Linked DNA regions of Kluyveromyces lactis. The protein of the gene in region 1 interacts with the protein of each later gene in a biochemical or structural test. Links are inferred from orthologs where the notes say so. Each region holds a gene or a part of one and is shown on either strand. Other genes may lie near its edges. The genes, in order: SKN7 and SLN1.

Region 1 (16,183 bases):
CGTTTCTCTGTCTTGATTTACTCTTCTCCAGATTTGAAGAACTGGACCCTAGAATCTAACTTCTCTCGTGAAGGGTACTTGGGTTACAATTACGAATGTCCAGGTCTTGTTAAGGTTCCATACGTTAAGAATACCACTTATGCCAGTGCTCCAGGTTCTAACATTACTTCTTCCGGTCCATTACATCCAAACAGCACCGTATCATTCTCCAACTCCTCTTCTATAGCATGGAATGCCTCTTCTGTCCCATTGAACATTACTTTGTCAAATTCTACATTAGTTGACGAAACTTCTCAATTGGAAGAAGTCGGGTACGCATGGGTCATGATTGTTTCCTTTAACCCTGGCTCTATCTTGGGTGGTTCTGGTACTGAATACTTCATCGGTGACTTCAACGGTACTCACTTCGAACCACTCGACAAGCAAACTAGATTCCTTGACTTGGGTAAAGATTATTATGCTCTACAAACCTTCTTCAATACTCCAAATGAAGTAGACGTCTTGGGTATTGCTTGGGCTTCTAATTGGCAATACGCTAACCAAGTACCTACCGACCCATGGCGTTCATCTATGAGTTTGGTCAGGAACTTCACCATTACTGAATACAATATTAATTCAAACACAACTGCGTTGGTATTGAACAGTCAACCTGTGCTTGACTTCACTAGTCTGAGAAAGAACGGTACTTCATACACCCTTGAAAACTTGACGTTGAACTCTTCATCTCACGAAGTGCTTGAGTTTGAAGACCCTACCGGTGTATTCGAATTCTCTCTTGAGTATTCCGTCAATTTCACTGGAATCCATAACTGGGTCTTCACCGATTTATCCTTATACTTCCAAGGTGACAAGGACAGCGACGAATACTTGAGATTAGGCTACGAAGCTAATTCCAAGCAATTCTTCTTGGACCGTGGTCATTCCAACATCCCATTCGTTCAAGAGAACCCATTCTTCACTCAAAGACTCTCAGTTAGCAATCCACCTTCTAGTAATTCTAGCACCTTCGATGTTTATGGTATCGTTGACAGAAACATTATCGAACTTTACTTCAATAACGGTACTGTCACTTCCACTAACACTTTCTTCTTCTCCACAGGTAACAACATCGGCTCCATTATTGTGAAGTCAGGTGTTGACGATGTTTATGAAATCGAGAGTTTGAAGGTGAACCAATTCTACGTTGATTGATCGATACCCTTTTGATTCCAATTGTGTGTTTCCATCAATTATTGTGAACATGTTTGAAGTGTGATCTCAAACATTAACAAAACTCACAGACTATTTTAAATACCCCCAACTTCTTCTACGGCCCTTGCAGGTTTCCAAACAGGAAAGGACTGTATATGGCTCCCGACCTTATTGGTCGCCTGCTTTGTTTTTGAGTTCCTCTTATGTTAAAAGCTTATGTTATGCAGTTTTAATTTATATTTAACAACAGTTCTAAAACGAATTTTATCAAAACTAAATTGACTTCTTGATACCATCAGCGAGTGGTTATTAGCAGTTTACCATGTAGTTTCTATGATGCTGCGCTACTACCTTTCATTGTGCTGGAAAAGCCTCACTAGTTGGTTTCTGACACCTTGGAACAACTGAATCCTTTTAATGGATGGATCTGACAATAAGGGCAGATCCATTGCTATAGGTCGGGTACTTTCTTTTCGACAGCCAGTAAATGTCTATTATAGAAGTTGAATAAGTGTTTAAGTACTGCTCTTGATTCCAGTCCCAGCTGCCTTAAAATCCTGACTTGATGAATTGATCGTAGTCTACAACATTTTAATTCAATTCCAACTTAAGAGACTCAAACATGCAGAATAAAATGACTTTTGAAGTCGTCAAAAGCAGCTACAAAACATAAACTAACGAACGAGACTGGTATTTGTAATTTCAGTGCAACCTGGGGAATGATTACTGGAATCTTCAATGGTATCGGGACTTTTACTGTATTCAAAATTATGGCCATCTGGACCCTTGATTGGACGAACAGAGTGAAGGGTTTATGATATGCATGAAATGTCACACTCGAGAGCGAATCAATTCTATGTCAACTTAACCTCAATTAAGGTCTATTTCTACACAGTATGGCGTTTGAATCTATCTACCTGCGAATCCTGTATTTACTTGGTAGATGGAGAAGCTATACAGCAACTCATTAAGGATACCGTGCACACTGTTACAAGAAATACTGATGTTTGGAGACCCCAAAGACATCAGTCATTTAGACAGACTTCTGAATAAGCTCCACTCTTTACAGTAGAACTGCAGGATTTACTACTTGCTACGTTGTCTTTTCCCCTAGTATTGATGTTGAACATGTCCCAGTAACATTTCATTGATAGGATCCCGGTAATGGGCTCTTATCAAAGATTAGGTAGAACAATGAAAAGTGCTTACAAGGTTTAAATATATAAAAGGAACAACAAAGAACTGTGGGACCATTCCGATGACACACGGTAAAATTGGGTAATTGCCATCACATAATTACTACCGGTCCTTGACACCTACTATCATCAGCAGAGCAACTAATCCCAATTTAAGGTATTACTAAGAATGACCGACTCTCGTATCCAGACATTCCACACAGCAACCCTTTCAAACAACACCAAGGTTTGGTATAGGGAAGCAGGTGATAAATCTAATCCATCAATTGTCTTGTTGCATGGATATCCCACTTCTTCAACTATGTTTCGTCACTTGATCCCATTGATTTCTGATAAATTTCATGTCATTGCACCTGATCTCCCAGGGTTCGGATTCACAGAAGTTCCAGAAGACTACCATTACTCCTTCGATAACTTGGCTGCCACGGTCAGAGAGTTTTTGAAAGAGATCAATGTTACTAGGTTTGCCATCTACGTCTTTGATTATGGGTCTCCAGTCGGATTCCGTTTAGCGTTGAAGGATCCCTCTTCCATCACAGGTATTGTTACTCAGAACGGCAACGCATACGAAGAGGCACTTGGAGATGAATTCTGGGGTTTTATCAAAAAGTACTGGCAGACTACCCAAACTGATCCAGTATTTGTTAAGCCACTTTCTCAGTTTATAGCTGATAGAAAGAATGTCGATGACCAATATTTCATTGGTGTTAAGGACAAAACAGCTATAGAACCAGCTGCATATACCCTTGATTTTGCTTTGTTACAAAGGCCAGGCCAAACTGACATTCAATTGAAGTTGTTTCACGATTACCAGAACAATTTGACCATTTATCCTGCAATTCACGAGTTTTTAAAAGCTCATCGGATACCTGTCTTGGCAGCTTGGGGTAAAAACGATTACATCTTTACTCCAGAAGGAGCCGAGGCTTTTGGCAAACATGCCCAAAAATTCAAGTTGACCCTTTTGGACTCTGGACACTTTGCTTTGGAAACTCACGTCCAGGATATTGCCCATGACATTAATACATTCCTCCATGACAATATAGCTTTATAAGTTTATAATTGATTAAACCTTGCGCGATGAAGAAGAAAGCATAGAGACAACTAAGCACAAAATTTCAGTTAATGGAGAGACTGAGAGCTGCACAGTGATGATAGTTTCTGGTCCTGCTACATTCCTTTTCAGAATGGTTTTTTGATTTAGAGTATATATATATAGGGCGATGTAACTTTATTAATAAGATGGTAAAGTGCCAACAAGAATCCCCAAGAACACCAAAATCATCATGGAGAAAAGACCCAAACGATACGTCTGTCCCATAGAATCATGTGGTAAGAAATACTCGAGGCCCTGCTTGCTTCGACAGCACGTAAGGTCTCATACAAATGAGAAACCGTTCCATTGTCCTGAACCTGGATGTGATAAAGCGTTTCTAAGGCCCTCACATCTAAGAGTACATATGCTCAGCCATTCCAAGGTCAAACCATACAACTGTAGTGTGTGCGGTAAGGGATTTGCCACTAAACAGCAGTTTCAGAGACATCAGCAGACGCATACGCAGAATCAAGACGACACTTCGACTTACCAATGTGGATATTACGGCTGTCCATTTAATGCTCCCTCAAAAGAGGCATTGAACGAACATGTATTAGAACTACACCTTATCCACGAAATTCTCGACCAGAACCCACCGTTACAAACCCCTCCACATTGGGATAACTTGCAATGCCAGGATAGCAGCTGTAGTGGGTATCCTTCTTTTCAATCCAGCCTGGAACTACTAGAACACTACGATGAGTATCATATATATATACCGGAATCTTTGCTAAAATACTCGTTCGAAGAAAATATAAATACATCATCATCAGAGTATTCTGCAGACGGATTATACACGGATCTTGAGTAACCATAACTAAGTGCCAGTATATCACGTCCATTATCCTCTTCTGTATAGGTCAGATAATAATATTTCGGACAATAGAACCTTAAAACTCAACATTTCCTTAACGTTGTCATATCTAGAAAAGACGAAGCACGCTTTAGTCTAGCAACCCATTGAGGCATGAGTTTCAAGTTTGACGATAATGGAGTGGTCAAAACGTTCCATGGTAACACTATAATTTGCCATATACCGCAGCAGACTGATTTCTTTAATAGGTTATTGGACTTTTACAGGTTCGCTAAACGACTATCGTTCTATGACAAGATCACCCTGCTTCCACCTTCCAGTTACCATGTTACAATCATGAATTGCTGCCACGAACACGATAGGTCAGTCGGTCATTGGCCTACGGGGCTTGGTGCTGATGCAAGCATTTCAGAGTGTCATAACCATCTTGCACAATTGTTCAAAGATGCCAATTTTAGAGACCAGGGAACTAATCCAAGCGGTGTTGAACTGAAGGTCCATATACCACCGAAAGACGAACTGCCTTCGAGTAAGCCTCGGTCCATTAATGTAATTGTAAAACCATCGAATACTTCCCAAGAGACAGCCATCAAACAGCTCAGGGATTCCATCTCTGCATTGACTGGTCTTGAAGATCCATCTCATGATTCTATAAAGTTTCATATCACATTGGCCTACATCAATGAAGAGCTAAAAGATTCTGAAGTGGAGGAATTGAACTCACACCTTGGAAATTTACATTGCATTCTGGACAGAGATTGTCCTGTTGTCCAGTTGGGAGAACCTGAATTTGTTACCTTTGAAGACATGTTCTATTTCCACTTAGTGACAAAATTGTAATATGATTAAAATTAATGCCTGTGTAATACTGCCTTAAGTTCACTGATACTGGAGAGTCATATATTCAGGCAACACCATTTCAGGAATCCAGCTTCCAAATAGCGTTACAGAGTAACTTAAAGTACAAGTGTCAATTCTCAAAATAACATGGTATCTTAAAAGTACGTAACTCCAATGCAACTTTCACATTCTATGATGATTCAACTCAATAATCTTAGATGGCATACCTAGTATCGCTAATACAGATCCAATGAAGCTTATAAAAAGAATTTAAACTGTTTAGAATGATATATTTACTATGAGGCGGTGCATAAGAACTTTTTCTCAGACAATTAGCTCATCTAATTGAAACCTGATGCAGAAGTGAAAAGAAGGACATATATAATTTCCTCATTGTTTAGAGCTGCTGTAGTCATTGGCTGAATAGTAATGATTATATTGTTTTGCTATATTATCAAGTTATCGGTGAATTAAGACATTTCATTGGTTTCAGGTAAGGCGGACGAGAGAAAGTTATTAATCATTATAAGAAAACCATAAATCTTGGCGTTCACTATCTTGGTCGGACCTCTTATTGGTTGAAACCGACCCATCTTACCTTCGTGATATCAAAGTGCAAACGTAACATCTAAACTCTTTTCCTTGAAGATATCCCACCATTGTTTATTTGATGACCAGCATTCTTCCACGATATTTCTAGCCTGTTCAGCACTTGATACACCCTTTTGAATCAAGGAGAGCAGATGCTGCAGATACAATGGCCTATAGTGATGTAATTCAGGAGCCATCAATTCACATCCACAACTGAAAATACAAAATATAATACATGTCTCAGCAGAAGAGCCAAACTCAATCCATGTTTCTATCAATTCAGTGATATTTTTCACTAGTTCTATCACTATTGGACTAGACGGAGGGAGACCCAACACTCTACGTTTCAACTGTAACACACCTGTAAGGGAAAATATCTGGTTCGTGGCCCGAAGAATTCTATACGCACCATAGCTTTCCGTTGTGATTGCGTCAGTCTTGGAAAGATAATATGACTGAAATATCTCGTTTCTCTTCAATTCGCTGGCCTTTAAATATGAAACCATCTTATGATCGAGTTCCAAAGCTCTCAAAATAAGATCCTGTGGGAATATATTGTTAGTAGCAGTTTCTTTCTCGTTAACCAGACGAGAAATCTCAGCTAACAACCATAGGCATATTACTTCCATTCCTGTGAAGTACTCGATATCTTTTAATAACATCATCTTCTGCATCAAGCTGTCCTTAATAGTGGTTTCCATTTCGTACCGCAAAGTGGTAAGTTTATGAATATTGTTAATTGAATTCGTTGAAGATAAAGACGAAATGATGTCAGTATAAGCAAACCATCTTAAAAGGAAATACTCTTGTTCCACATCTGCACTGTTATTAGACAACATTACTGATCCTGTATCGTTAGAAATCCTTTCCTTCATGATTTTCCTTGCGCCATAAACATGCGTTCTCCATTTTTGTTTCTTATCACCAAAGAAGATGTCGAAAGCAGCTAACAATAGAATGGTAGCCAAGGTTGAATCACTATTTCTTGAATCAAAATTGGTTAACTGACCCATAAGGTTGGTGAAAGTATTAATCAACAAGTCATTAGCCACCAAAGAGGAATCTCCATTTGATAACTCCTGGTATTGTAGAATCTTATGCTTATGGTTGGCTCCAAACACCAACAACAAGTTCATTAATGCGGTGTTACTCATAGCCATGCGGGGTAAGAAATTGAAGAATGGGTTACGGGTATAAATTGAGCTTGGGGCAGGAACCAACAATTTTGAAGTCTGGTTCACAAAGAAATCAAACGATTCTGCCATCTCTGGTGACTGCAGTAGGAGATCAGGAATCATCAAGCTTGGAAGTGAAATAGAAGGCATAAAGAATTCAAGATCTAGGCTTTGCACAAGATCGTCATCATCGTTGTGAAAACCACCGATCCGCTGGCTGCCGGCGATACTATCGTCCAATTCATCCTTGGACCCATCGAACAGAGACAGAGAAAGAGGAGACAGTGGTGTGGACGAAACAAGAGCCATATTGACCCGCTGTGGAGAATTACCCTCTTCCTCCACTCTCTCTATCTCAATCACAGGCTCCGATAAAGGCGGTTTCTCCAGCTCCTGCACCAGCTCTTGTAGCTGCTTCTCCTGAACTGGTTCCTCCTCCTTTACCACCACAGTTTTCTTGGTTATCATCTTCTTGTTCTTCTTGACTTTGGTGGCCTGTTTCCCAGTGGCAGCGTTCAAATCCACCGCACATATTCCCTCGACAACATAAGTATGCTCAAACTTCATCTTCTTGGAAACCCTATTATCCTTAAACGGACGACCGCCCCATTTCAATGTACGCGAATAATCACATTGGAAGCCTCGCTTCTTACAGTACCCGCAATGGGGTTTCACCTCATCACATTTCTTCTTCAAACTCTTACACTTCTGACATCCCATATAAGACCTAGCAACTTTCTTCATCTCTATAGTACCAACCATTTATTCAACAATACCATCAGGAGCAAGGCAATAATCAATGGCTGAATACAGGACACGGTCTTTACCACTTTACCCTTTGTCTTATTGGTATTGTAGAAGAAATGATGATTCATTTCAAAGCTTTTCCTTTAAAATAATGACTATAGATAAGGAAATAATGAAGCTTTAAAGAGAGAACAGTTTATAAGAGGGAATAGAGAAACTATTTGAGCTACCTGATCCGTGCTACATAGTTGCTAGTGACACATAATCACGGTAGGTTGTATTTAGGTTATTTAGTTCAAGTCAGCAACGATACGGGACCATCCCTTGTGTTCTTTTCTGCCATATTGGATATCGGCAATCCATTCAGCCACTTGCTTGGTCAATGGACCACATTGTTCACCAGGCAACAATGGCACTTGGATATCGTGACCGTTCCAGCCGATTTCCTTGATTGGAGACACGACAGCAGCGGTACCGGAACCGAACGCTTCGACCAATTCGCCCTTGGCAGCTCTTTCTTCCACTTCGGTGATAGTGTAGTAACGTTCAGAGACGATCCACTCGTCAGAGTTCAAGTTTTCTCTGGCCAATTGTAGAATAGAGTCTCTAGTGACACCTTCCAAAATGGTACCGTCCAATGGAGCAGTAACCAATTCCTTCTTGCCGGTCTTGGAGTCCTTGAACACGAAGAAGACGTTCATAGTACCGACTTCAGTGATGTTCTTTTCTGGACCGAACAACCACAAGTTTTGTTGGTAACCACGTTCAGCAGCTTGCAATTGAGGCAAGATACATGGTGCGTAGTTGGCACCAAGCTTCTTGTCACCAACACCACCTGGCCAAGCTCTAGTAGCATAATCCGTAGCTTCCAATCTCACGGCTTTGAACCCAGTCTTGTAATATGGTCCCACTGGAGATGTGATCACATACAACAAAGCTCTGTCTGGAGTACCAACACCCAATCCGTTAGTAGTACCAATCATTGTAGGTCTGATGTACAAGGAGTAACCTTGACCTTGAGGCACCAAATGCTTGTCTTGTTCGATCAACTTACCGATCAACTTGATCAACTCATCCGAATTAAAAGATGGCAAACAGATTCTGGCTGCTGACTTGTTCATACGTTCCATATTCTTATCAGCACGGAACATGCTGATCTTGTTGTCTGGGGTTCTGTACGCCTTCAAACCTTCGAACAATTCGAAAGCATAGTGGAACACACACGAGGATGGATCTAACGACAAGTTCCCGTATGGTTTAATCTCTGGGACACCCCAACCGTTTTCAGCTGTCCATTCGATGGTTAACATATGGTCAGTGAAAGTTTGACCGAAAACCAACTCATCGTTTGGACGTGGCTTCGATGGGGTTTCGACCTTGGTGATTTTAACCTTGGATGCGTCTAAGGACATGGCTCTATAACTTGTTAAAATATGACTCTTAATACCTCTTGATGGAATGGAAACTCTGCTGGAAACAGCTCTTGCACAATTCCGTAGTCCAATGTAGTTCATGAATGTTCCTTGCCAGGGATGAAATAGCTAGGACAAATGATACAGATGGTGACAATAACGGGCCAAACAAGAACAGAAACAAGACAAATGCCCTTCTTATCTGCCTCTTATATACATGTCATCAGTTGGTTGAAACTTTTTTTTTTCACCTCAGTCTATGCGTATTATCGAAAAATGGTCTCGAGAGACAGGAACCAGGCATCCCACCTGTTGCCGAGGGCAGATTGCCGGTTGCATTTCCTACAAGCCGGTATTCTGTTGCTTAGTGTTTCCAGTGATTGACTCACAAGTTTCAATTCCACTTGTACTTGGTTCAGACTTTGCTTCGGTAATCTTCGCTCAGGTTCGCTGCACATGCATGACTCACCAAGATAGTGCGATGATCTCTCAGAAACAGGTATTGAGAACGCAGGTGAAAGCCATGTTGAGAGGCCTTTCGCAGGCTGAATTGGCACGCCAATCTGAAATTGTGTCCCGTCATGCATTGTCACTTGTCAACGCCAAGGGTTTCACTCACATTGCATGTTTCTTGAACATGGACCATAGCGAGATGAAGACCGAACCATTGGTAGAGTCTCTGTTCAAACAGGGGAAAACCGTTTACTTGCCCCGGTGTTCGTCCACTAGTGTATCGAAACAGGTTGACTTGAGACAGGATGGTGCATTGAAACGGCCACATCTTGTGTTTTACCGTTTCGATTCGTTGGCTCAGGTACAGGCGTTGCAACCTCAGGGCAAGTACAAGCTAAGAGAACCTGTACGAACTGACCCTGAACCATTGCCCACGCCAGCATTAGAAGTTATCCTGATGCCCGGCGTTGCGTTCTGTAAGAAGAACGGGGCTAGAATGGGCCATGGTGCAGGTTATTACGATGATTATATCTCAAGACACATCCATTACACTGGGAAAAAGCCGTTGCTAGTCGGATTAGCCCTCGAGGAACAGTTGGTGGACGACGTTCCCTTGGAACAACATGATTACACTGTGGATTGTTTGGTTTGTGGTGACGGTACCGTGAAATGGTATACATAGAGCAGTGATGTGTAGTTAAAATTATAATAATGTATGTACTTTGTGGGTAAAATAATCTAATTCAACTTGAAATTGGCTTTACCTCTTACTAGAGGTCTTCTACCCGACTGGTCCAACAACTCGGCTTCTATTTCGACGTCGTTCTTGCCCTTTTGCTCCCATTTGGTCCTTCTAACGACAACGAATTGGTTGGCCAATGTGGGGAAAGAGTAGTTTAACTTCAACCGTTGCGTCACTTCGGCTGATTTGCCAGTCACTAGCTTTACAGAGTCTCTCATAGTGTCTTCAAGAACAGTAGCTAGTATACCACCGTGAACCAAGAACGGATACCCGGTTAGTTTCATTCCTAAATGGTACACTGACACGGTATCCTTGGTCGTTGGATTGTAATAGATTCTTGGTGGTATACAGATGGCACCGGGGGCACGCAAGGTCTTGTCAATCAACGTATTCGTCGCGTCTGCGTCCGGCTGCTTGTACACGGCAACGTACCCCTTGGAGAGAAGCTGCTTCACTATCGATAAATTGTCACATCTTTGGTTTAACTCATCTCTGTAATCGATTAGCTTGGAGTCGGTATCCGGTAACTTCCCGTAGAACCACCATGCCATGATATCAGTAAGTGTCAGATGTTGTGTTGTAAACCAACCTATCCCGAAACATGTACCGAAGATCAGCACATTGGTCCATTTCCGGTTCGATGAGGGTTTCTTTACAACGAATTTGGCTTGTCTTGCTGCTGCAGCAATGCTCTCACTTGTAGCGTCCGTAGAAGCCCTACGGATAGTGTTCCTTAACAGCGGATCTCTAATAATTCTGAACATCTGTTTCTCGTTTTCTTGCAGGTGTTTTAAGTCTTATATACGCCCTTATAGATGTGCTTCTCTCATGAACGGAGTATAGTCATTGGTTTAAAGGTTTGTCTAGTTAAGAATCCTTTAAATTCTGTTTAGCTTTTCATGCTTACTGTGGAGCGAATGAAAGATGGAGATAGAGAAGTGGCAAAGAGGGATCTAGCCCCCCGCTGCTAGGAAAACTCTGTAGGAGCATCTAACAATACTAGTAAATCCACAACCATAATTCCCCTGTTAATTTCCTTGGCCTGAAGTGATGGTTCATTTGAAGCTAGAGACACTTCGGTTGAACGATGAAGATCAGAGCACCGGGTCCAGCTTGATCACTCCTAGCCGAACCCAGCTCTGCGATGAAGTGGTCCGTTGGTGGAAGGAAGAACCGGCTGCCGAAGATATGCTGATAGATACGTTGTACGAACATTTGATCCGACGACGCTCCAATTGGTCAGTAACCAAAGATGAATTATACCAAGCATTGAAATCGCATAAATTGTACACTCCAGAGTTGAACGAATTGGACAGTTATACTGGCGACATCAGACCCAGTACCGTTACGGATGCTGATATTGCCCAGTTGAATAAAAAATTGTTGGATAAAGTTACCATTGCTGATACTGAGTTTGGGAAAGGATTAGTAGCCACCGATGATATTAGGAAAGGTGGATTGGTCTTCCATGAACAGTTACCATTGACTGTGATTCCGCAATTGGACAAGCAGCCTTTGGTAAGTAGAGGTAAATGTTGTGGTTTGTGCTCTGCTTTCACCACATTGTCATCACAATTGATCATCAAGAACAATTTGGATTGTAACATGTGTAACACCATCTGGTGCTCGAAGCAGTGCAAGAAACTAGACACTACCCATTCCGTATTGAAACATGCCACTTCTAGAAACTCATTATGCAATAGCTCCAATTGGATCAAGTTCGAGAATTTCTGTTTACAAGAAAGTCTTGTTGCCGCATATGCCGTTGGTGTCATCTATGCAAGGCATGTGATGCAGCCAACATCCAATTTGTGGAAACTCTTCACATCCTTGTGTTCTGTTAGTCAGAGAGTACGCTGGCAAGCTTCTGATTCCATCAATGTTGGTGGTACTTTTGATGCGTCATGTAACGGTAAGCTGTATGCGGATGTCTCAGCACCGAATATGGAGACACAATGGTCCGATGCGTTTGAAATGTTCGCCAAATCTTTCCCCAAATGTGATATGGACTATGAAGATTTCTTAAACCTCACAGGCACCTTCAATTTGAACCAAATTATGGGTCAAGTTTACCCTTTAGTGGCTCATATTAATCATAGCTGTGAACCTAATGTAAGGTACGAATTGGAACCAAAACATGGGATTAAATTATACGCTAGAAAGGATATCAAGAAGGGGGAACAGTTGCGTTTAACTTACGTGAATCCATTGCATGGTGTCACCTTGAGAAGAAGAGAACTAAGGGTTAATTATGGATTCCTCTGTCATTGTCCTCGTTGTTGTCAAGAATGGGAGAAACGCCAAAAGATAGTCAGTGACCCGTCTAACCACGCTATATCATCAGAGGCTGCACATTCATCTACCACAGCAAGGAGGAAATCCTCAATGAAAAGTTGCAGACCAAGTCTCAAGGAACTTTTAGAAAACGGTGATGAGTTCGATCTAGAAATCCCATCCGATGTCAATTCCAAGAGAAGAATGTCTGTGCGATTCAATAGCCATGTCACACTGGCCGTCGAAGAAGAATAAAACTCTGCTTATCATACTCGAATGAGCATACATAATATACCTGTACGTATACACAAATATACTCATCTGTCAACGTCATAAAAGATCCAACGAGACGAAGATTGAAAGATAATTACTAAAACCAATAATTTTATAAGTAATAAGAAGGATATAGATACAACTTTACCGTACTTTTGATCGATGTACCATCAATAATAGGAAGTACAGAATAGAATTAATAACCGAAAAAGCACAGACCAAACGTATAATAAAAGAGGACTTTTTTGGTGTTTAAAATAATGGAGAAAGAAAACAAACAAGAGTTCTTGAAGTGAAATGAAGTGTCCTGTTTTCTGGCCCATTTCTCTTTTTATCTTTTTTTTTGATAGCAGCATGAAGGATACCTTAACTGTCTTATATGTGCGGTTTCTTTAGCATTGGTTCCTCTACATACGCTTTAGGGTCATTATTAGAATTTTGTCTTTGTTCAGACAACGGGATCCGATCTTTGAGGTATCGTATTAGCATCGAGTGTAAGTCATCTTTTGTGAACGGTTTAGCTAGGATATCATTCATACCGTGTTGTAAGTAAGTGACTAAGTCCTGATCATCGATGTTACCTGTCATGGCAATGATGGGAGTTTCATTATCAAAACTTCTAACAATGGATGTCGCTGTAGCACCATCTAAATTTGGCATAACAATATCCATCAATACCAAGTCAAATCGCTGTTTTTCCAGCGTGGAAATGGCAGATAATCCATCAGTAACCACTTCCACTGAGCAACCATATTTTCTTAAGAATTTGGAGCAGAGTTGGATACAAACAGAATCGTCTTCGACAAGTAAAACGTGGAATCCTGGACGCAAGACAGGATGTTGGTCCATCGGAAGTAGCTCAATGGGTTCCTGTTTCTGTAACGTAGTATTAACCGACAGCCCTGGGATATTTGCATTGGGTGTTGATCCGGTTGAGTCCGATATTTGACGTTGCTGATGAGACTTATTATCCGCACGAGAATTACCTTTTTCGAAGGATAAACCTACGGGTACTTTTAAACCCTGCTGCGATAACGCATCGACAAGAATTTGGAAATTAGAAATTAATTGGGAGTTAAAGGATTCAGTGGAAAGGAGACTTTCCAACGCCATATTGTACTTAGACTGAATCTTTTGAAGGTCCAGTTTCATATTATGATTCTCATTTGTTAGATACTGGACCTGGTTTTCCATGTCTTCCACCTTCCGCTTTAATTGGTTGAATTTGGTCTTGTTCACCGTGTTTTTCAGAAGCATCTTCGCAGTCATACCTTCTTCGTCACCGGCAATGAAGGCACCATCGTCTCCGGGTGCACCACCTAGTTTCCTCACTATTACGGAGTTCTCATCCACCAGTATTTTCTTCTGTGATGACGGTTTCCTGCGAATGTTATCCAACCCTGCCTCATCGTGTCTTCTAAAATACTGATGGTTGAATTCCCACGCGTTTTGAATCCCCTCAGACACTTCGTTCTTCTTCCTCTTGACTTTATGGAAGTCGTACTTGTTCAACTGCCTCACAAAACTCGCAAAATTCGAATGCTTGAAGTGTTTAGGCAAGATATCCGTCGTAAATTTATTCGTGTCTAGCACTATAAAATTCTTACCATCAGGCGACCACGATATAATGCTGGTATATTCCTCTGATTCCAATATTAGAAACAATTTTCTAACAAAATCATTGAACGACGTCCTTTGACTCTTCCCCTTACCGTTGGAACCAGACCCTCCAGGCACAGAGCCAATTCCATTGTCGTAATCGTCTTTATGGCCCTCACTCAATTGTTCACCTAAATCATCCATTTTTTTTCGTCCGTTCTTTTGCTCGTCCTTTGTTCTATGAATGAATCTGAATCCAGCAGAAACTCTCTTACTGATACCGTCAGTGTCAAAGTGAACCAAGTACAACTAAGCCCGTAAAACCTAAGCCCCAGATAAAATCACTTCGCTAAAAAGAAAACCTGTACTCTTGGAACAAAAGAAACACAATTCAGAAGGTTAAATGCCACACGAACAAACGGCAACAGTGATACAGTCCGTGATAAACCACAACCAAGAGGCACAGACGTCTGCTATTTAAACAGTTTGACGTTGTGTTTGTTATCGTCATTTCGGTTCGTGTGTTTTTTTTAAACCTTTCTGGACACAATTTTTCATGAACCCAGAAGAAAAAGACGAGCAATTTCGGTGAATTTGGCAACGGAAAGTGGTAATTTACTTCCGGTAGAACTATTATTTTTGAATAAGAACTAAATATTTAAATAGGCCTGATTATAAGGTACATAGTAATGTAATCCATGTTCGAGGTTAACTACCGGAAGTGTTACTTTTCTGCTGTTTTGTTGTGTCTGGTGTTTCCCAGTTTTTGTCTTTTTTTTTTTTATACTTTACAGGTTGAATTTCAAAATGAAATAGTAGCAAACGATGCGATGAGATGACGTTTCTTGTTGGTACCACCGGCTCTATTCAGCTGCTCGTAACTCTTTGAGCACGTATTACAAGGGATATGTCGGTGCAAAAACAGGAGCTTCAGATTTTTAGTGACCATTCTGTGCTTTCCAGGCATCTATTCACAGATTCGTCATCCAATTTGGTTTTGGTGACAGATACGGTAGCGACGAATGCATCCTGGTTTGTCAACGCACTTGTGGAAACGGTCACTTTAGGTGGGCCCGTCTCTTTAAATGGGAATAACAGTGGATCCAATAGCGGTTTGAGCAGCAGTGATCCCGTGAAAGTGGTAGTCGGATCGTTTTTGAACCATCAATCGTATTTTACAACTGCATTTGACAGGTTGAAGGTACCACGGAATAGATACAACGTCTTACAAATAGCAGAGGATCTTGTTGTCAAAAACGTAGGTAAACCTGTGGATGTAGTTATTGAATGGGTTTTGAAGCAGTTTGAAGAGTCGTTATCCAACAGTCCTTCAGTGGTAATATTGGAAAAACCGGAAATTTTAATGGCACTCTTCAAGTTGAACAGTGACGAGTTGCATTTGAAATTGATCAACCCTTTACTTAAACTATGTTCCTTACTTATAGTCGTCAACTCTGTGGAGTCCTTCGATAACGATTTCCCAGAACATCTGGGTAAGGATACCGTCGAGTTTGTAAGGTTTACCACTTCATGTTTCCATAAAAGTTTCCTAGTACTGTCGGTGAGACCCTTGGACACCGGTAAGGCCAAAGACGTGACCGGAACGTTGGCTATAACCCGTGGTGGTGCCTTGCTGGATATTCCTGCACTACACGTTGTGGAAAACCAGTATTTGTTCCATGACTTGAAGGAAAATACAACACTATTTTACAGATGATGTACATGAATAAATACTATATACTCTTCTTAAATCCTTTAATAATGTCGTCTAATGTGAACT
Region 2 (16,888 bases), about 830 kb from region 1:
TATCAAAATGCCCGTCCTGGTACCAGGTGCGAAGATAATTTATTATCAGCTAAGGATTGGCAGGCCGATCTTCAAGGATAAAATTTTCTCATGGCCAGAATGCCTGACGAGTCTAACGTAACTAAACAAGAATTAGGGATATATAACGGTGTCTCATTTACAATTGTCACAAAGCTTTTAGCAGAAGGTGCTAAATCGTACCAACTTGGTTCGAAACTCTTAGATGATGAGAAGCTTCTCGCTAATAAGAAATTTGAATATTCGGGGGAACTGCTCATCGTAGATTCGGTGTTTTCAGGATCTGGCCGGGATAAAGACTGCGATTTCGCCACGAACGTCATAGCACAATTCTTTGAGCAGGTTATTGTCCCTTACCGCCTAATAAAAACTACATCCAAGTCATCTGTCATAGAACTGGCCTCGAGCATTGACAGCACTAGACAGTACACTGTTCTCTTTCTTTCTGGTGATACATCGATATCAGAATTCGTTAATAACCTGCCCTTGAACCACGACTGTATTTCAGTGCTTCCATTCCCAATGGGTACAGGAAATGCATGGGCAAGCTCTTTGAAGTTGATGGATCCAGCTGTCATATTCTCACAATTTGTCAATGGTAAGTTGTCCTGCAACGATTTCCCGTTGTATAGGGCAACTTTTGACAACGGTTATGTCCTTAAATTCTTCATAATTTTGTCACTGGGATTTCATGCAAATTTACTTCATCTCTGCGAAGAAGATGAGTACCAGAAAATGGGCATTGAAAGGTTTAGAGTTGCTAGCCAGCGAATTTTAAGAGAATACAAGCTCGAATCTCGCGTCTCTATTCCCGATATTCTGGAAGGATCTTTTAGTTATTTTGCGTTAATAAATACCACAAATCTGGAGCCAACTTATATGCCATCTCCCGATTCTGATCCATTGGAATCACAACTACATGTATTGGCATACCAGTCTTCTCTGGATAGAGTAGAATTCCAGAAAAGGGTATTTATGGGTTATTCAAATACGAAGCATTCAAACATCTTACAGAATGGAACGTTTTACAGACCACTGCCATTTTGTTTTAACGTCGAAGTACTAGACGATCCGTCACAAAAGAGCAACTTTGAAGTTTGCTGTGATGGGCAACTTCTTAACTTACTAGAGTTAGAGGGAAAGAATACTCCACCATCCACGATAAGAATTGAGACTTGTACGGAGCCATCATTAAAAGTACTACATTCTTTATAATATATTAAACCTTACATTATTGTCTATATAATTTCCAAATCATCACTTGAGCCTTCATCTTTATCGAGCCGCTCTTGGCTGCCTTTCATTATTTCATTGAAGATAGCGTTTCTCTTTTCAATTTTCTCTTTCAATTGTTTCTTCGAAGGTTTCAGGCTAACATTATCTTTCTTTATATTGCAAATATCCGTTATCGCCAGCTGTTTATCATTCTTTGGCGCCTTATTCTCTGTAGAATATTCAAGCATCTCTAAAGACGCTTTCCCTTTTGTTGGGTCATAACCAATTTGGTTCGCTAAACCATGTTGGAACATGCTCAACGTCGCAGTCTTTTTTGCTTCTTGATTGACTCGGTCTTCCTTCTTTGACAACAATTTGTCGGATAGACCCTTTAACTTTTTCTCCAAGTTTCGATTGTTTCTGAGTTCTTGAATTTTGCGTCTTTTGTTATCAAGGTTGGCCAGTATGTCAGGATTTTCGTAGTCGTCATCGAAAAACGCGGTAGAGGCATTTGCAGAACTGAAGAGGAATCTGTTGGTCTCTGCAGCTGCCGGTTCTCGTACAAACGGTTTATCAGGATTTTGTTGATATCTTATGGATGTTTTACCATTATTGTGTTGTGATTTTACAATAGTCTGTTGATATCCTTTGACAACTGGCGCTCTCATTGCCACAGAGCTACTAATTTCAACTCTTCTAGAACTGTTTTGCCTCATTTTTGCCTCTTTATGATATGCACAGTAGTTATCATGCAATTTGTTTATTGGCGCACCACATAGCTTGCCTTTGTTCTTCATGTAAAATTGGCACAATCCGAATTCCTTACTGTGACCTAGTTCCAGTATATTATTGGTGTCTTTACTAACTTTTAACGAAAATGTAGCGTAACTAGGGCTTGCTCCCGCTTCCAGTTTCTTGGAAGGCATTATTTCAGGGTTAAGTATAGCAATCAAATCACCTAATCTTAGTTTGTAATACTTTTCAACTATACTTTTCCCAAAGAAAATAACATTCAGTTCAAATTGGAAATCACTTATGGTTAGGCTGAAGAATTTCACCGGTTTCACAGAATTTGTCATTCTTGGTTCAGTTTTCTTTGAGATGATACCCAATACCAACCAATTGGGATAATCAGGTTCAGAGAACTTAGGGGCTCTCACCTTACTGAAGAGCTTTGGAAGTCGAAGCACTTTTATGTTTTTAGTATGTTTCCTAAGTACGGCCAACGGTACATACCTTCTGTCTATAACCAGACCACTCAAATCATCTTTTTCATCAACAGTAATTGGTTCATATTCATCGAACATGTCGCCATTGAATGTGTAAACTCGATGTGCCAATAATTCTTTCTTCCTTTTAATCGCTTCATGTTCATTTGTATTGATGGAGCGAAGTTTTTCAGTAAAGTAAGAAGTGGTACCCAACTTTTTGACCTTTTCCCTTACATAATCCTCATTAACATTAAATGTAGCTTCCTCTATATCTGCTACTGGCGCAATATGTTTGATATCCTCTATTCCTTTTGTAGCATTATCTGATTTCTTAGGAGACTCTGGAACGTCGATAGAATCGAAATTAGGGTCTTTGAGGTTTCTCTTCTTCTCTAGTTCCAACAGCCGGTTAGTTAAATCTCGTTTCTCAGTGTCAATTTCAACAATTCTTCGTTTCACTTTGATTTAATGATTGGTTATAATATGTTAGTAGGATATTCTAATGTCATTGATCTCGGTAACCATTATTATTAGAACATACCTCTTTCGATTTCAGATTCATCATCAGATAATTCCTCGTACGGGTCGAACGCCGTAATTTCTCTCGGGTCAGTTAGATCATATGACATGATGCATCTTCACTGTTACCTATACTCGATAGCTTCTGTAACTATTCTCGTTCATTCTTTACTTGTGGGATGTCATTATTTTGTTTTCTCGTTTGAATATCTGTGGAAAGTAATACTAGTATTTTTTACATGTTGAAAACGAATGGTCAAATAATGATACATAATAGAAAAAAATTAAATAGAACTTCGGTAATATTAACAGCCATAAAATCGTCTGGAGAATCAGGCTTCCTGACCATCCTCAGTATCACTTTCAGGCTCTTTGTGACGTTTCTCAGGCTGTTCTGTTGCGGTGTCGTCTATGGGTCTCTTATTAGGAGAAATTTCTGACGTTGAGAAGGGACTAGTGAATGTTGAATGAGAGCCAAATACAGGGGCCTGGAATGCTGCACTCATATTAGAAGTGTCATTCTCTACAGGTTTAATTGTGGACTTTTGTTGTTCTAAATTCCTGATCTTGCTTTCCAAAAATTTCAATTTCAAGGAAACTTGCTGTTTCCCTTCTTCGAAAGATTTTTGTTTTATTTCTGCCAAATCTGCTTCAAATTGCTTACGCATGGAATCCTTAAGTGCATTCAATTCTGCACGATGCTTTTCTAGAGTAATGGCATCATTTCCGATCTCTCCTGCCAATTTTTGGGCCTTTTCGTTTACCTTTTCTTCAAAGGACTCTTCTAAAACAGCTTTTCTTGCCTCAACTATTTTATCAATCTTTTGTTGAGTAGGTAACCTGATCCGTTTCTTGAGGGCTTCTTCTGCTAATTTAATTTTTTCCAGAGTCTGCTTCTCATATTCTTTTTCCCATTCATTCTTCAAAGCATCGATGTCTATATCCAAGGTAGGCTGCGAAGGAGACTGGACAGTAGTCTTTTCGCACTCTTCACGAATTCTCTTTTCTCTTTCTTCAAACTGTTTCCGGAGCTCTTCCTCTCTGGAATTCCAAGCAGATTCTTTTTCTGCCTCAAACTTGCTCCTCAATTCTTTTTCTTTATCTTTTATTAATTGTTCTTTTTCAGCTTCAAATTCTGTTTTCAAATTATCCACTATTGACTTCGTGTCTTCGTTGATAACTGGCGTATGATGTTCAGCTACTATTTTTTGAGCGTTGGAGGCTTCGGCTTCAAGCTCCTGTATTTTACTATTTAACATTTCCACAGTCTCAGTCAACGATTTTATTTTTTCATCTGAATCTGCATTATTCTGTTCGGTCTTGGAAGCATTTTCCATTTGAACCTGAATAGAATGTAGATCTTCCTGCAATTTAGATAATTGAGAGTTAAAAGTCTGTTCCTTTGTTTCTGCTTCTTGCGTTACCACTTGTAATCTTTCTTCTAACTCTTTGCAAGCGGTCTTACATTTTCCTAAATCGGCCTCCACTTGAGATTTAGCTTCATTGATTTGGTTTATTTCTGATGATAAAGATTGTTCCTTTTCCTTGGAGGCATTCAATCTATCACGTGCTTGAAGCCTAATTCTTTGGAACTTCGATTCCCAGTCATCTTTCTCGGCAATGACGCTTTGCAAAGTATCCTTGGTAGTTTGCAGTTCATTTTTAACATCGTTAATTTCCTCCTTTAGTTTACCATGTTCTTCAGGATCAATACGTTCATATTTATGTAAGATATCTTGAGAACGGCTTTTCCACCGTTCTGCTTCTTCTTTCGATTGAATGAGTTCCTGTTCTTTAATTTTGATACCATTTTGCAAAGAGGAAATGGACGACTGTAGTGGCGCCAGCCTATCATTACATTCTTGCAATTGCGACTTTAGATTGTCACATTCTTTCTTGAATGAACTATTTTCAGATCTTAGTGTAACGTTACTTTCTCTTAACAAGTGCAGTTGGTCAAGTTCTTTCATTATATTTTCTTGCTGCTCTAGCAAATGAGCGCTTTCACTGGAACTATTCTTAACTTGAGATAATTGAGTATTCAAATCTTCAATTTCTGATTTTGCTATATCAAGGCGTTGTTTTAGAACCGTTTGCTCGCTCAATGCAACTTCTAGTTTAGTTTCTAGCATGTCTCTTTCACGGCGCAAGCTGATTAACAAGTCACTTGAATCATGAGAGTTGTCACGATCTTCAGTCTTGTTTAGCAATTCAATTTGGTCGTACAGGAGCTTATTTTGGGTTGATAGTTCTTGGACTCGTTGCTCCAAAACGGACAGTTTATCTTCGTACTCAGTCTTCTGTTCATTCCATAATTTTTCGCTATTCTTCAAGTTCTCCATAGCCAGTTGGGATTGGGTTTTAAGTGTCTCTAGATCAGATTTATAGCTTTGCGCCTCAGTTCTTAGGGACGTAATAGTTTTAGAGACATCTGCATGCTTTTGCAATTCAAGTTCGTAGCTCCGTTGACTCTCATTTGCATATTGCGTTTGCATTTCTAGATCTTTCTGAATCATTGCAATTTTTTCTTCGTAGTCAGCCTTAGTTCGATCCACAGATTCTTTCACCATCTGAAGCTTACTGATTTCTTCCATTGTTGCGTTCCTCTCAGTTTGGTATTCTGATTTTTGATGGAAAATTTCGTTATTCAGGTCTTTCACCTGATCGTTGAGAATATTGACAGTACTCTGTAATTGATTTCTTTCGTTTTCTAGAGTGATTATTGTCTTCTGAGATTCCTTCTGGGCCTCTTCAAAGGCCTGGCTTACTTCATTAACGGATTGCACGGACTGTTCCGCCAGAGTTTTATGATGCTCTATTTGTGAATATGAATCAGAAAGTTGCAAGTTAACCTTTTCCAATTCCTGTCTCAAAGTCTCAACTAGGTTTTGAGCATCATCGACATTACTTAACATCGTATATGATTGTGCCCGTGCCTCGGCCTCCTTGAGTTTTGCGGATTGTTCATTGATAGTGGATTGCATTTTCTGAAGTTGAGCTTCTTTTTCTTCTAAGGTCGTTTTCTGTTGAGCTGCCTCACTAGTTAACTTATCAATCTTTTCTTGAAACCAATTATATTGATGCTCTTTATTGCTAGCAATTCCTGTGGTGTTTTTTTCAATTTCTTCAAGGCGTTCGAGTGAACCAGACAACTCAATTTCCAATTTTCTAAGCTTTTCCTTATAAGAATTCTGAGTTTCCTTGAGTAACATTTCTCTCTCACGTTGGAGTGTCTGAAGTTGCGCAATTAACACCTTGTATTCGACACTTTCTTTGGAAAATCTTTCGTTCTCTGCCTTCAGTTCCTTTTGAACCTTTGCCATAAACTGTTTTTCAGACTTCAAGATGGATAGTTCCGATTGTATAGATGACAAAGTGGATTTCGTTTTGATTAAGGAATCTACAGTCTCCTGTGTACGTTTGTCCTGTTTTGTTAAAATATCTTGTAGATCAGATGATCTTTTTTGTAGCTCCTCACATTGGCGTTTGGAAAGCTCTAAAGTTGATTGTAATAGATTTAACCTATCTTCTGCAAGAGTACGTGAAGTTTTCTCAGATTCGAAATTAAGTGATATTTCATATAATTTCTTACGCAGGTTGCTGTTTTCTGATGACCATTCCTTGGCATTATTCTCTGCTTCTTGAATGACAGCGGTGAGTCTTGTTTCGAGATCCTTCACTTTATCGTCATTATCAGGAGAAGGGTAAGTAATGGCCTTAGGTGTGTTTGTGCCAGAGCTAGCATTTACTGACAATGCCTTGTATGCGTCCCTCTCCTTTGATAGAATGACTAGTTGGTTTTCAAGGTTCTGTGCATGATCATGAAGTGTAAGAATGGTTTCTTTTGCCTCTCTCACCGTTTCATCCTCTAATACCTGGATTTGAGATTTGTTTTCAGCTTCCCTGCGTTCTAATTCATCAGCAAGATTGCGAATTGTAGAAAGAAGTTCGGAGTTTTTCTGCTGCAACTCAACTACTGATCTAAATTCTACTAGTCGATCGGTTATAATGCCTTGAGTGTCAGAGGTCTTTGTTATTTCTTGAGAGTTGGTTAGATTTTTGACAAATTGCAATTCTTCAGCGGATAATGGTCCGCCATCCTCTGACTTAATAGATTCGTTCACGAGTAAGTACTGTATCTGATGGGCAAGGTCAACACGTTGCTTAGATAGGGAGGCTATTTGAGTCTCATAGCTTTTCACAGTAGCTTTCAAATAATCAAGTTGTGACGACTTTTGATCACGGTCTTTGCCAGTTGACTCTAACAAAATAGTAACCTCATTTAACTCTCTTTCAAGCATTTCACTTCTCTCTTTGAAGGAATTGAGAACAGGGATTTTATGCTCTAATTCAACAACGAATGCTTCCACTTGCATTTTTAACTCGTCTTTTTGTCTTTTCTCAATAACCAGCTGTTTTTTGAGCATTCCCAAATCACCATATAACTTAGGTATGACAGAAACCGATTTTTCTGAAGACGCAGTGGTATTACCAACTTCGGAGTCTTCTAATTTTATGTTGGATGTTAATTCATCGATTGTCTCCTTAAGTTTTATGCAGTTAGATTCAGATGCGTCTAAACGATATTTGACCGCATTGAGCTCTTCAATGAGCTCGTCTCTTTCTTTTTCGGTGAAATATGATGAGTCCATGTTATTCTTTGTAGCATCCATTTCTTTCTTCAATGATTCCATATGTTTCTCTAGAGCATCAATCATTCTCTGCTTTAAAGACATCTCTTTCGTAAGCTCTTGTTTAGAGAAATTGTACTCATCTTTAATTTCTTTGTTCTCGGAAAGTTTTTGCTCCAGTTGTTCATGTAAACTGTGTACCGATTGTTTTAGTTTCTGATTACTGGTTCGAGCTATTTCCAACTCTGATTCCATATTCGATACCTTTAACTGAGAATCTTGTAATTCACTAATTGTGCTTTCTCTAAACTCATTGAGTTGTACGGTCTTGGTATTTAACTGATTGGTCAACCAGTCATTGTTTTCTCTCAATAATGTGATTTCTTGTTCCATCCTTAAAATCTCGCTTTTCGAACGTAGCTCTAAGGCCTGCTGAGTTTGTAGCTCAGTTTCAGTATTGACGACTTTTTGTCTAAGTTCCTTATTCGCTCCCTGTGCTTCATTCAATTTAGCTTTGGTAGAACTGAGTTCTTCAATTTTTTCGTTTAGTGACTCTGCAATATCTTGCTTAGAAGCGTCAGCAAGTTCTTTTTGTTGCCTCTCTACTTCTATTTCTTGTTCCAATTCTATGATTCTTTTGGTCACTTGTGAATTTCCTTCAATTAGACGCCTTTTCTCTTCTTCAAAGTGTAAGCGCTCATCCTTCCCATCTTCCAATGCCTTGGCTAGTTGAGAGATGTGAATTTTGAATGATTCTAGTTTGTTCTCTGATTGAGATTTTAATTGATCCAAGGTAGCAGTTATTCTTAGGTTTTCAGATTTTTGTTTCCGAAGATCTTCCAACTTCTCCTCAATCCTACCTAAAACATCATTATTAATGTCTTGTATCAGTTGCTGGTCGACTTGTAGAAAGTCTGCGACCCTAGAGGCAATGGGTTCTACGGACATTCTCAACTCCACAACACAACAATGGAATAGCAATCTATAAGACGCTACTTTTACCTAGTGTTCAAGCTAATCGCTATGATATTCAATTAGAAGTATACTAAAAATTTCTGCAGGTATACATGAGCATATACAATGCACATAGGCTTTGTTCTTGACAGGTAATTTTTGTTCAATTTCAATATTAGGTCCAATTCGGTGAAATTCAAAATAACGACCAGATACCACGAACTGACTGCAGAACGAAATACAGAAGTCGTATCTAAACTAACAATCAGGGTAACCGGTACCAGTAAAATTCTACGTTCCAAGTTGGGACGGTTTGCAACAACATCCGTGCACTATTCAACAGTGTGTCTGGGTGTATAAATTTCGGGGCTTGACAATTAAAAATGCATATATTCCTCAAAACGGTATTTTTATTTTCTAATTGCAGAAATCACTTCGTTTTTGCTCGTTGTCGATTCCTCAGGTTCACCAACTTTCTATGTACCAAACCCAGATTGAGGAAAGCAAGCAAGAATTCATACTCAAAGTATTTTGGATTATATCATTTAATCATACGCACTTAAGATAGCTGTACTTAGTTGTTGATTACTATCAAAAAGATCAGGAAAGGACAAGATTCAAAAATGCAAATGTATGCACAATATGATAAGCAAAAGGCATCTTATTTTGGGGTTTCTTGGTGATTCAAGACGGTTTATGCTACTTTGAAATGGGACGAAAGCACATTAGCTAAAAAACAACAAGACGAACTCGGATAACAACTAATGAAAATGACAAGGATTTACTGTGTTTGGTGTAACATATATCATGATAGTCGCTATCCTGTGAGAACTTGAGCGTTTCATTTCGGAGAGTGTGAGTACGCGGTCTAAACTGTTGAGTGAGATATATGTCACGATTTCTTCAAACGAAAGCAAGTACGCTTTGCAGAATGAATAAGGATACAAGGAAGCAGTTTAATGGGACCTATCACCTCCTAACTATCAAATGCACAACAATTCATACCTACAGAGGGAATTTTTTTTGGTTTTTTATTAAGCTTTACTAATCTAGCAAAATTAACTTGAACGTTCACTAATTCTAGGAATCGTCCCAATAAGATTGCCTTAAGAACTTTGTTCTGATCGAGTTTCAAACTTTTACTAACAAATCATATCTTTTTGAAAACAGTTTCGTCAAGACCTTGACTGGTAAGACCATCACTTTGGAAGTCGAATCTTCCGACACCATTGACAATGTCAAGTCTAAGATTCAAGACAAGGAAGGTATCCCACCAGACCAACAAAGATTGATCTTTGCTGGTAAGCAATTGGAAGATGGTAGAACCTTGTCTGACTACAACATCCAAAAGGAATCCACTTTGCACTTGGTTTTGAGATTGAGAGGTGGTATCATTGAACCATCTTTAAAGGCTTTGGCTTCTAAGTACAACTGTGAAAAGTCCGTTTGCAGAAAGTGTTACGCTAGATTGCCACCAAGAGCTACTAACTGTAGAAAGAGAAAGTGTGGTCACACCAACCAATTGCGTCCAAAGAAGAAGTTAAAATAGTCGATTCTGCTACCACTATGGAGTACATACATATTTACGCACATTCACTATCATATGTGTTTTTTCATATTAGCTTTACAGATCTATTATTTTGATTTAAATATAAATCTTCTTTAACATTGTTTAATATCATTGAACGTTCCTGAGCGTTGCTTTGTGTGACTGTCGGTAATGCACTGTACTGGATATTTAACACATCGAATGTATTAAGGGTCGGAAATATACATGTGTATGAGTACCTTTAAGTTTTATATAATGTTACATTCGCAAATCTATTCTTCTCTCTGTTTCTCTTTTTTCGAACAGTACTGTGCGATTATTTTCTTTAACAATGGTCTTTTAATGGGTTTTGGTAGGAAACCATCCATTCCACTTTCTAGACAAACTTTAATATTGCTATCATCTGCGTATGCGGTTAACGCAACAATGGGCCCTTTATATAATAGATCATTCCGGATCATTTTGGTAGCCAACAACCCATCCACCCTCGGCATTTGAACATCCATGAATATCATGGAGTAGGATTCGCCATTCTTTAAGATTTCTTCAACTTTCTCATAAGCTTCTTGTCCGTCACATGCCATATCAAGATCTGTGAGTCCTTCTAACTGAAGCATTCTTTTTATAACTTCCTGATTGACATTATTATCTTCAGCAACCAAAACTCTATGCCGAGTAACTTCACTTGCTACAGATGATATACTCCTAGTACTGGTCGCCGTACCCGTACTTTGTAAAAATGGTCTATCAACACGAACATTCCCAACGCTATTTTCAGTAGAATTACTGGCTTTTCTCTCACTGACATTGTTATCGCTATGTCCGTCGATACTAGATTTAGATTTCTTTGTTTGAACAGATTTCCTAGAGGAATTGATTTTAAATTTAACCTTTCTGTTCTTCCTGCTGTGAATATTGAACTCATCTTCAAACTGTTTTTCAGCACCATCGAATACTATCTCTTTTGTTTGCTGTAGTGGCACAGTGAAAATAAATTTACTTCCAACACCAACTTTCGAATCCAACTTCATTGTACCTTTCATCATCTTTGCCAACTGCCTACAAATGGATAAGCCCAAGCCAGTTCCACCGTATTGTCTAGAGAGCGTCTGATCACCTTGAACAAACGGTTCAAAAACAGATTCTTGAAGTGAAGGATCAATACCCGAGCCAGTATCTTCCACTTCCATACTTATAACCCAAGTCTTTGGTACCTTAAGATCTCTGAACGTATTCTCTTCCGTATCTGAATCCGTTGAAGACAGAACTTTCTTGAACTGCGAATGGAAAATTGCATCATCGTAAGAGCTTGAAGTACTTGTAGATAATATTGACATCTTTTCTTTTTCGTCTTCGTTTTCTTCGTGCTTACTTTCAAGAACAATGCTACTTTCATCGTTGTCATTGCCCTCCGTTGACGTTTCGGATTCGACTTGAATTGAGCCTTCTTTTGTCTTAGTTGTTGGGGAAGTTGATCCATCTTTAGTAGCAGTATTAACGCTGCCACTAGAAGAATTGAAAGGAAGCCTCATGGGAGTAGTTGAAGTTAAATTGAACTCAAAATCATCATTTGCTTCAGAACCAGGGACCACAAATACCTCTTGATAATCGACACTTTCACTCCTTTTTGAGTCGTATTCGCCAAGCAATTTGATCCTAACATCAACTTTACCATCAACTGGTGTGAATTTTAGAGCATTTGAGACTAGATTCATAACAATTTGAATGATTCTATTTGAATCACCCCATAATACCAAAGTTCTAATGAAATTTGGTGTAAGGGCAATGGACAATTTAACATGCTGATCTTTTGCTAGTTTGCCAAAGATGGATTTAATCTGCAAAGCAATATCCATAACGGAGAAGTCACGTTCCTCCAATTTTGTTCTCTTTAAGACATTCTTAGAGAAAGTCAAAAGTTCTGTTAGAATATGCAACAACAATTCACCTGATCTGAAAATCAACTTCAAACTGTTCTGCACTTTTTGCATATCAGTTTCTGCCATGGCAATTGCAGTCATACCAAGGATACCGTTTAGTGGAGTCCTCAATTCATGAGAAATGTTGGCAATGAAAACTGTTTTTGCTTCATTTGCAGACTCGGCCTGAATCTTAGCCGCTTCTAATTGTTTTGTTCTAGCACGAACTCTTTCTTCTAAAAGAGCATAGTGTCTATCTAGCTCATCTGTCATTGTGTTAAATGTATCTGTGAGTTCTGATAGTTCATCTTGAAAAAATCTTCTGTATACTGGGACATATGCTTCCACTAGGTTGGTTGATTTGATATATCGTTCGGAGGTATATGAAGAAGAATCATTAGAAAATGGGGTAGATCCAGTAGTAGCTGAACGTGTCAGGTCTCCGGGGCCTCTGGGTATAGTCTGTGAGTTTCTTGCGGAAACGCTTGGTGAATCTGTTCTACTTGGAGGGAAAACATTATAATTGTGATTCAGATAATTACTGGGCGTACCTTTGGTGACAGATTTGTTGAACAGCTTCATCACCTGGTTTTGGTTAGATGTGCTACGAGTCCTAGAATGTGTAATTGCAGTATTTGAATCTGAATTGCCAGTGTTGCTATAGTGCTTTAAGTCTCTCCCAGATGTAATGATTTCAGTAGCCTTCTGAAGTCTGACTATAGGTTGCACAGCCCAGTGTGCTATAGGGAAAGTCAATAAGCACATAAATACGGCAATAGCGCACACCGTACCAGCAATGATTTTCATAAGCCGTATAGTGGGAGACAAGAATACTTGTTCAGGTTGGGTAACAACGGCCACCCAATTTACAAGTTTAAAAGTTGGTGGTGAATACCCTACTGCTATGTTTCTCTCCTGAACCATATTTGTTTTCATAACTGAACCAACTTTCCCATTTTCGAATGCATCAGCTATAAACGTGCCGTTCTTAATTGGAAAAGTCACTTTTGAACTGAATGATGAGGTTCCATGCGGAGGGAAAACGAAATGATAACCAGTCAGTGAACTATTACTATCGAAAACAGCAGATAGGATTGATACGGATGACTTATCTAAAGCAATTGTATCATTTACAACAGCCTTTAAACTTTCCGCCGATGCAATGACAGTAATATAGCCGGCAATTTCGTTAGTATTCAGAATAATAGATGGATTTGTTGAAACTGGCAATGACATGGACAACAAGTAATTTGTCCAGTTATATACCGGATCTGTAACGATACCCGTAGTTAGTAGCGAAGAAGACAAAGGCTCTACGCCAGATAGAGGAAAGAGCTCTGCTAAAACGTTTTCCGGAATGTTGTCACCAGACCCATTATTGGTGGAGTTTATTACGGTGTTGAAAGACGTATCATAAACTCTAGCAGCACTGAACAAACCTGAAGAACCAAGAAACTTTTCTAAACTGTCTTCTGCAGAATTCCAATTATCTCTAGATGAATTACCAGCTCTAAAATTGACTAACGCATCTTGTAATGTGTCTCTTGTAGACAACCAATATATTTGATAGTATAAATAATTCAAGTTCTGATCAACTTGTGATGATTTTAATTGTGCTGCAACCTGTAATCTTTCAGCTCGTACGGATTTGTAGTTCGTTGTGAAATAAACCCCAGTAGTAACCGTAATGATTGTTAACGATAAAACGCAAATAGAGCACACGAGAATAATAAGTTGGGTTCGTAAACCAACATTAAACGGCGGTGTAAACCGTTCCCGAAGAGCTTTAAGACTGCAACGTCTCTTTAAGCCTGCCAACATCGTGAATTATTATCGTCCGATAGTTAGCATACGAGGTTGAAGTCTGGAATACAGGTTAGGTTGGTATTAATGACAGACAATTTACAATCCCCTCATGACGTCTCCTATCAAGAACCAATGAACTTCTTAAACTTTGATCTTTGTTTTCTTTTAATTCATCTAAGTTTTTCATTTTGTGAATGAGGATCTTTTACTAACATAAAGTAAGGGTTTAAACCTTGAAAAATGTCACAAGCCTGTACAGTAAACAAAAATAAAATACACAACTTATCAAAAAGTATCCTGTCTAAAGTGACATAGATTGTGATAGCCTATATGAACTGGGATACTTAGTTGAGACAAATCACTAAATGAGAAACCTTGGGAATAAAAACAGATTGAAATAAAGTCTCAGAATTGAATATTGTGCTATTGACATTTAGGGACTAAAATTGTATATTGAAGGCTCAATCTGAAAACAAAAGTTGGGCAACAATTCATACTTTTGAAAAAAACAACATCTAGTTACATCACTACATACACCAAATTGCAGCATATAAACGTACCCCGGTTCAAAACATCACTAAATCCAAAGCAGTGACTTTTGAAATGGTACTCTGCGAGTCAGGTTGCATGAATTCTTTACCAATGGATTGAATCCAAGCAGACGTCATTAAATGAGCCGAAAGAAACTGCTTTAATAATTCATTGATCTGGATAGCAGTATCCTTAACTAATTTGCACACTTGACCCAAGAAATCAGAAATTGACTGCGGAGAGCTTTCCTCAAGTATTGACGGTGAATTTCCTTCTATAGCGTCAACAATAGCATCGATCTCCTTATCTGCTGTCTGAATAACCCCAACTGATGAATTATACGAGGAAGTCTCGAACTTGCTGAAATAAAAGGTGACGCAACACCCAATCCCAACGCCAAGCGCTATAGATATTGGCCAAAACCACCATCTTTTTGCAAGATGAGGGGCCGGCTTCTTTTTTGCACCTTTTCTTGGTTTAGTTTTTTTAGGTATATCCGTCTCATAGTCAGAATCTACTTCAACGTATAGAGAGTGCAAATGCCGCAACAACCCGTGTATCTCGTAATGATCGGATATTACCACAGGGTACGACATCAATTTTATTTTGTTAGAGTTAGCAAATGTTTTGACCTTTTCCGTGACGCTTTGCTTCTGACCCTTTTGACATATTGGAATCAAAGTGAAATCTCCGTATTTCTTCCACATTCTATTTAGGATTGTAGTCACTTTCTTTGAATCTGAAAAGATTATCATGAAAGCAGTATATTTCAATGCTTCCTCTTTTGAAGCTTCGTTGAGTTTTCCGACGTCAAACATTAGTCGGTGATACCGAGATAGACGGTTATAGAAAGAGTTAGCTGAGTCTCCATCGCTCAAAATTAAAATCTTGAATCTTTTCATAGACTCCGATAAGGACAATTTCGGCATAACAAAAAAGCTGCCCGCCCAAGAATGGCCCAAATTGACCATTATCGTCTCATCTTCGCCAGTGCCAGCACCTAGTTCTGCTTTTGAAAATTGACCAGTTTTAGTCGATTTAACTGGATCACCGTCAGAAAACTGATGGACTGTAGTTTCACTATTTCCCTGATCACCAAAACCTGTTGATGATAAAGGATAGGCTAGAAATTGGTTGTGCTGCTGAGAAGCACTCAAATTAGGCGAAGGAGCAGCATTAATTTCAACCTCTTCTTCAGAAGTGTCAGATGATAACACCCCGCCAAATTGTTGATTGAAGTCGCCATTTGAGGTATTATGATAGTTATTATGATTTCCAGCATTTAAAAAAGAATATTCATCCCGATCAATGGCCTGCCATGAATCTGTGAGTCCTTTACTATGAGTGTGAGTATTAATATCATTATGATCAATATTGTTACTTTTACCCTTCCTATCGATTAAATCTTGATTTTGGATCAGCCTGGAATCGAATGCACAGCTTTGCTGTCCGTTCAATAAATCCATAACTGAGTCATGTGGATCGAGAATACTGTGTCGCTGAGCACTACTGGCACTAACACCGCTGCCGCTGCTTCCAGCATCTAGTGAATATAACTGACGATTATTGTTACCAGGAGGTGCACCCCAGACCCCTTTAGACCCAGACATCTGTTAACAGAAAAAAATAGTAAAATATTCAACTGACCCTTTGTAGTGACAATACGACAAACACTAGCAAACCCCTTTATAAATGAGTTCTTAGCTCACTCTAAGACTTCGCGAAAAGGAGAAGAATAGAGTCCGAATAAAAATCAAAGATTATCAGTTAATCAGAGACAAGAGTTATGGCTGTGAACTATACCTCTTCAAAAGACCCAAATAGAGTAATCAAGGAGGAATAAACCCTTAAGAGCTTTGTAATATTAATAAATCAATATCAGCGTACCTTTAAGTAATGTAACAAAAAGAAATTTGAATACAAATCAGAGGGACAAAAGACTGGTTTAAGGTACAACAAACACAGACACGTTTAGAGGATCAATCAACAGATCTATAAAAATAAAAGTAGCTTCTCCAACTTTAGTTCAGCCACTCAACGTCAGAGCTTAGTAGGAAAAAAATCAAAAAAAAAATGCAGATTCTGATATGTGTTTTCTTCAGTGTGACAAACACTACACGACTCTTCTTTTGTGAATCTATGTGGTATTGAGTCACGGGCTGATGCTTGGCACTTGAAACTTAAAACTTGACACCTATAATAATGAAATAGTACCAAGCGGAGAAAAATACTAAAAAGTCTCCACTCAACAACTAATATAGAAAGCCTTATCCCTTCAGTTTACGCTATGGTGAGCTTTAGTTGATCGAACAAACGGTAAAATAGTTAAAAAAGATAACCACAAAGTGTGTGAAGAACGACTTTTCAACGGACGATCTTAAACCTTTTTTTTTTAATATATCCACTCTTGGCGATAATATATAATAAAATGCAAGTGAATGTTGCCTGATGTATATATATATATATTGTGACTATGCTAGAGACACTGTTGTAGATTACAAATCGGAGCAGCACACTGATATCGGTGCAAGCAAC

The links.
Region 2: of the proteins of SKN7 (region 1) and SLN1, one has a biochemical effect on the other in vitro, tested with the Saccharomyces cerevisiae proteins (3 studies listed by BioGRID). The link is inferred for Kluyveromyces lactis from reciprocal best matches to the Saccharomyces cerevisiae genes SKN7 and SLN1.

The regions. Positions count from the first base shown.
Region 1 is NC_006037.1:895,355-911,537, reverse strand, and holds SKN7 (kinase-regulated stress-responsive transcription factor SKN7), read right to left. Parts: upstream 14,608-16,183; coding exon 13,180-14,607; downstream 1-13,179. Other genes in the region: beta-fructofuranosidase SUC2, read left to right, coding at 1-1,191; KLLA0_A10395g (epoxide hydrolase), read left to right, coding at 2,557-3,441; FZF1 (Fzf1p), read left to right, coding at 3,674-4,294; KLLA0_A10351g (uncharacterized protein), read left to right, coding at 4,451-5,137; KLLA0_A10329g (Zn(II)2Cys6 transcription factor), read right to left, coding at 5,746-7,665; branched-chain-amino-acid transaminase BAT1, read right to left, coding at 7,941-9,164; FAU1 (5-formyltetrahydrofolate cyclo-ligase), read left to right, coding at 9,322-10,197; FMP10 (Fmp10p), read right to left, coding at 10,254-11,021; SET5 (S-adenosylmethionine-dependent methyltransferase), read left to right, coding at 11,308-12,786; Elongator subunit ELP6, read left to right, coding at 15,311-16,120; and 1 more. UniProt on the Saccharomyces cerevisiae protein: Transcription factor that is part of a SLN1-YPD1-SKN7 two-component regulatory system, which controls gene expression in response to changes in the osmolarity of the extracellular environment.
Region 2 is NC_006037.1:50,009-66,896, forward strand, and holds SLN1 (histidine kinase), read right to left. Parts: upstream 13,838-16,888; coding exon 10,370-13,837; downstream 1-10,369. Other genes in the region: KLLA0_A00550g (uncharacterized protein), read left to right, coding at 91-1,233; MCM10 (Mcm10p), read right to left, coding at 1,257-2,902, 2,986-3,073; MLP2 (Mlp2p), read right to left, coding at 3,296-8,542; RPL40A (ubiquitin-60S ribosomal protein L40 fusion protein), read left to right, coding at 9,172-9,179, 9,719-10,097; mitophagy protein ATG32, read right to left, coding at 14,389-15,963. UniProt on the Saccharomyces cerevisiae protein: Histidine kinase that acts as an osmosensor at the plasma membrane.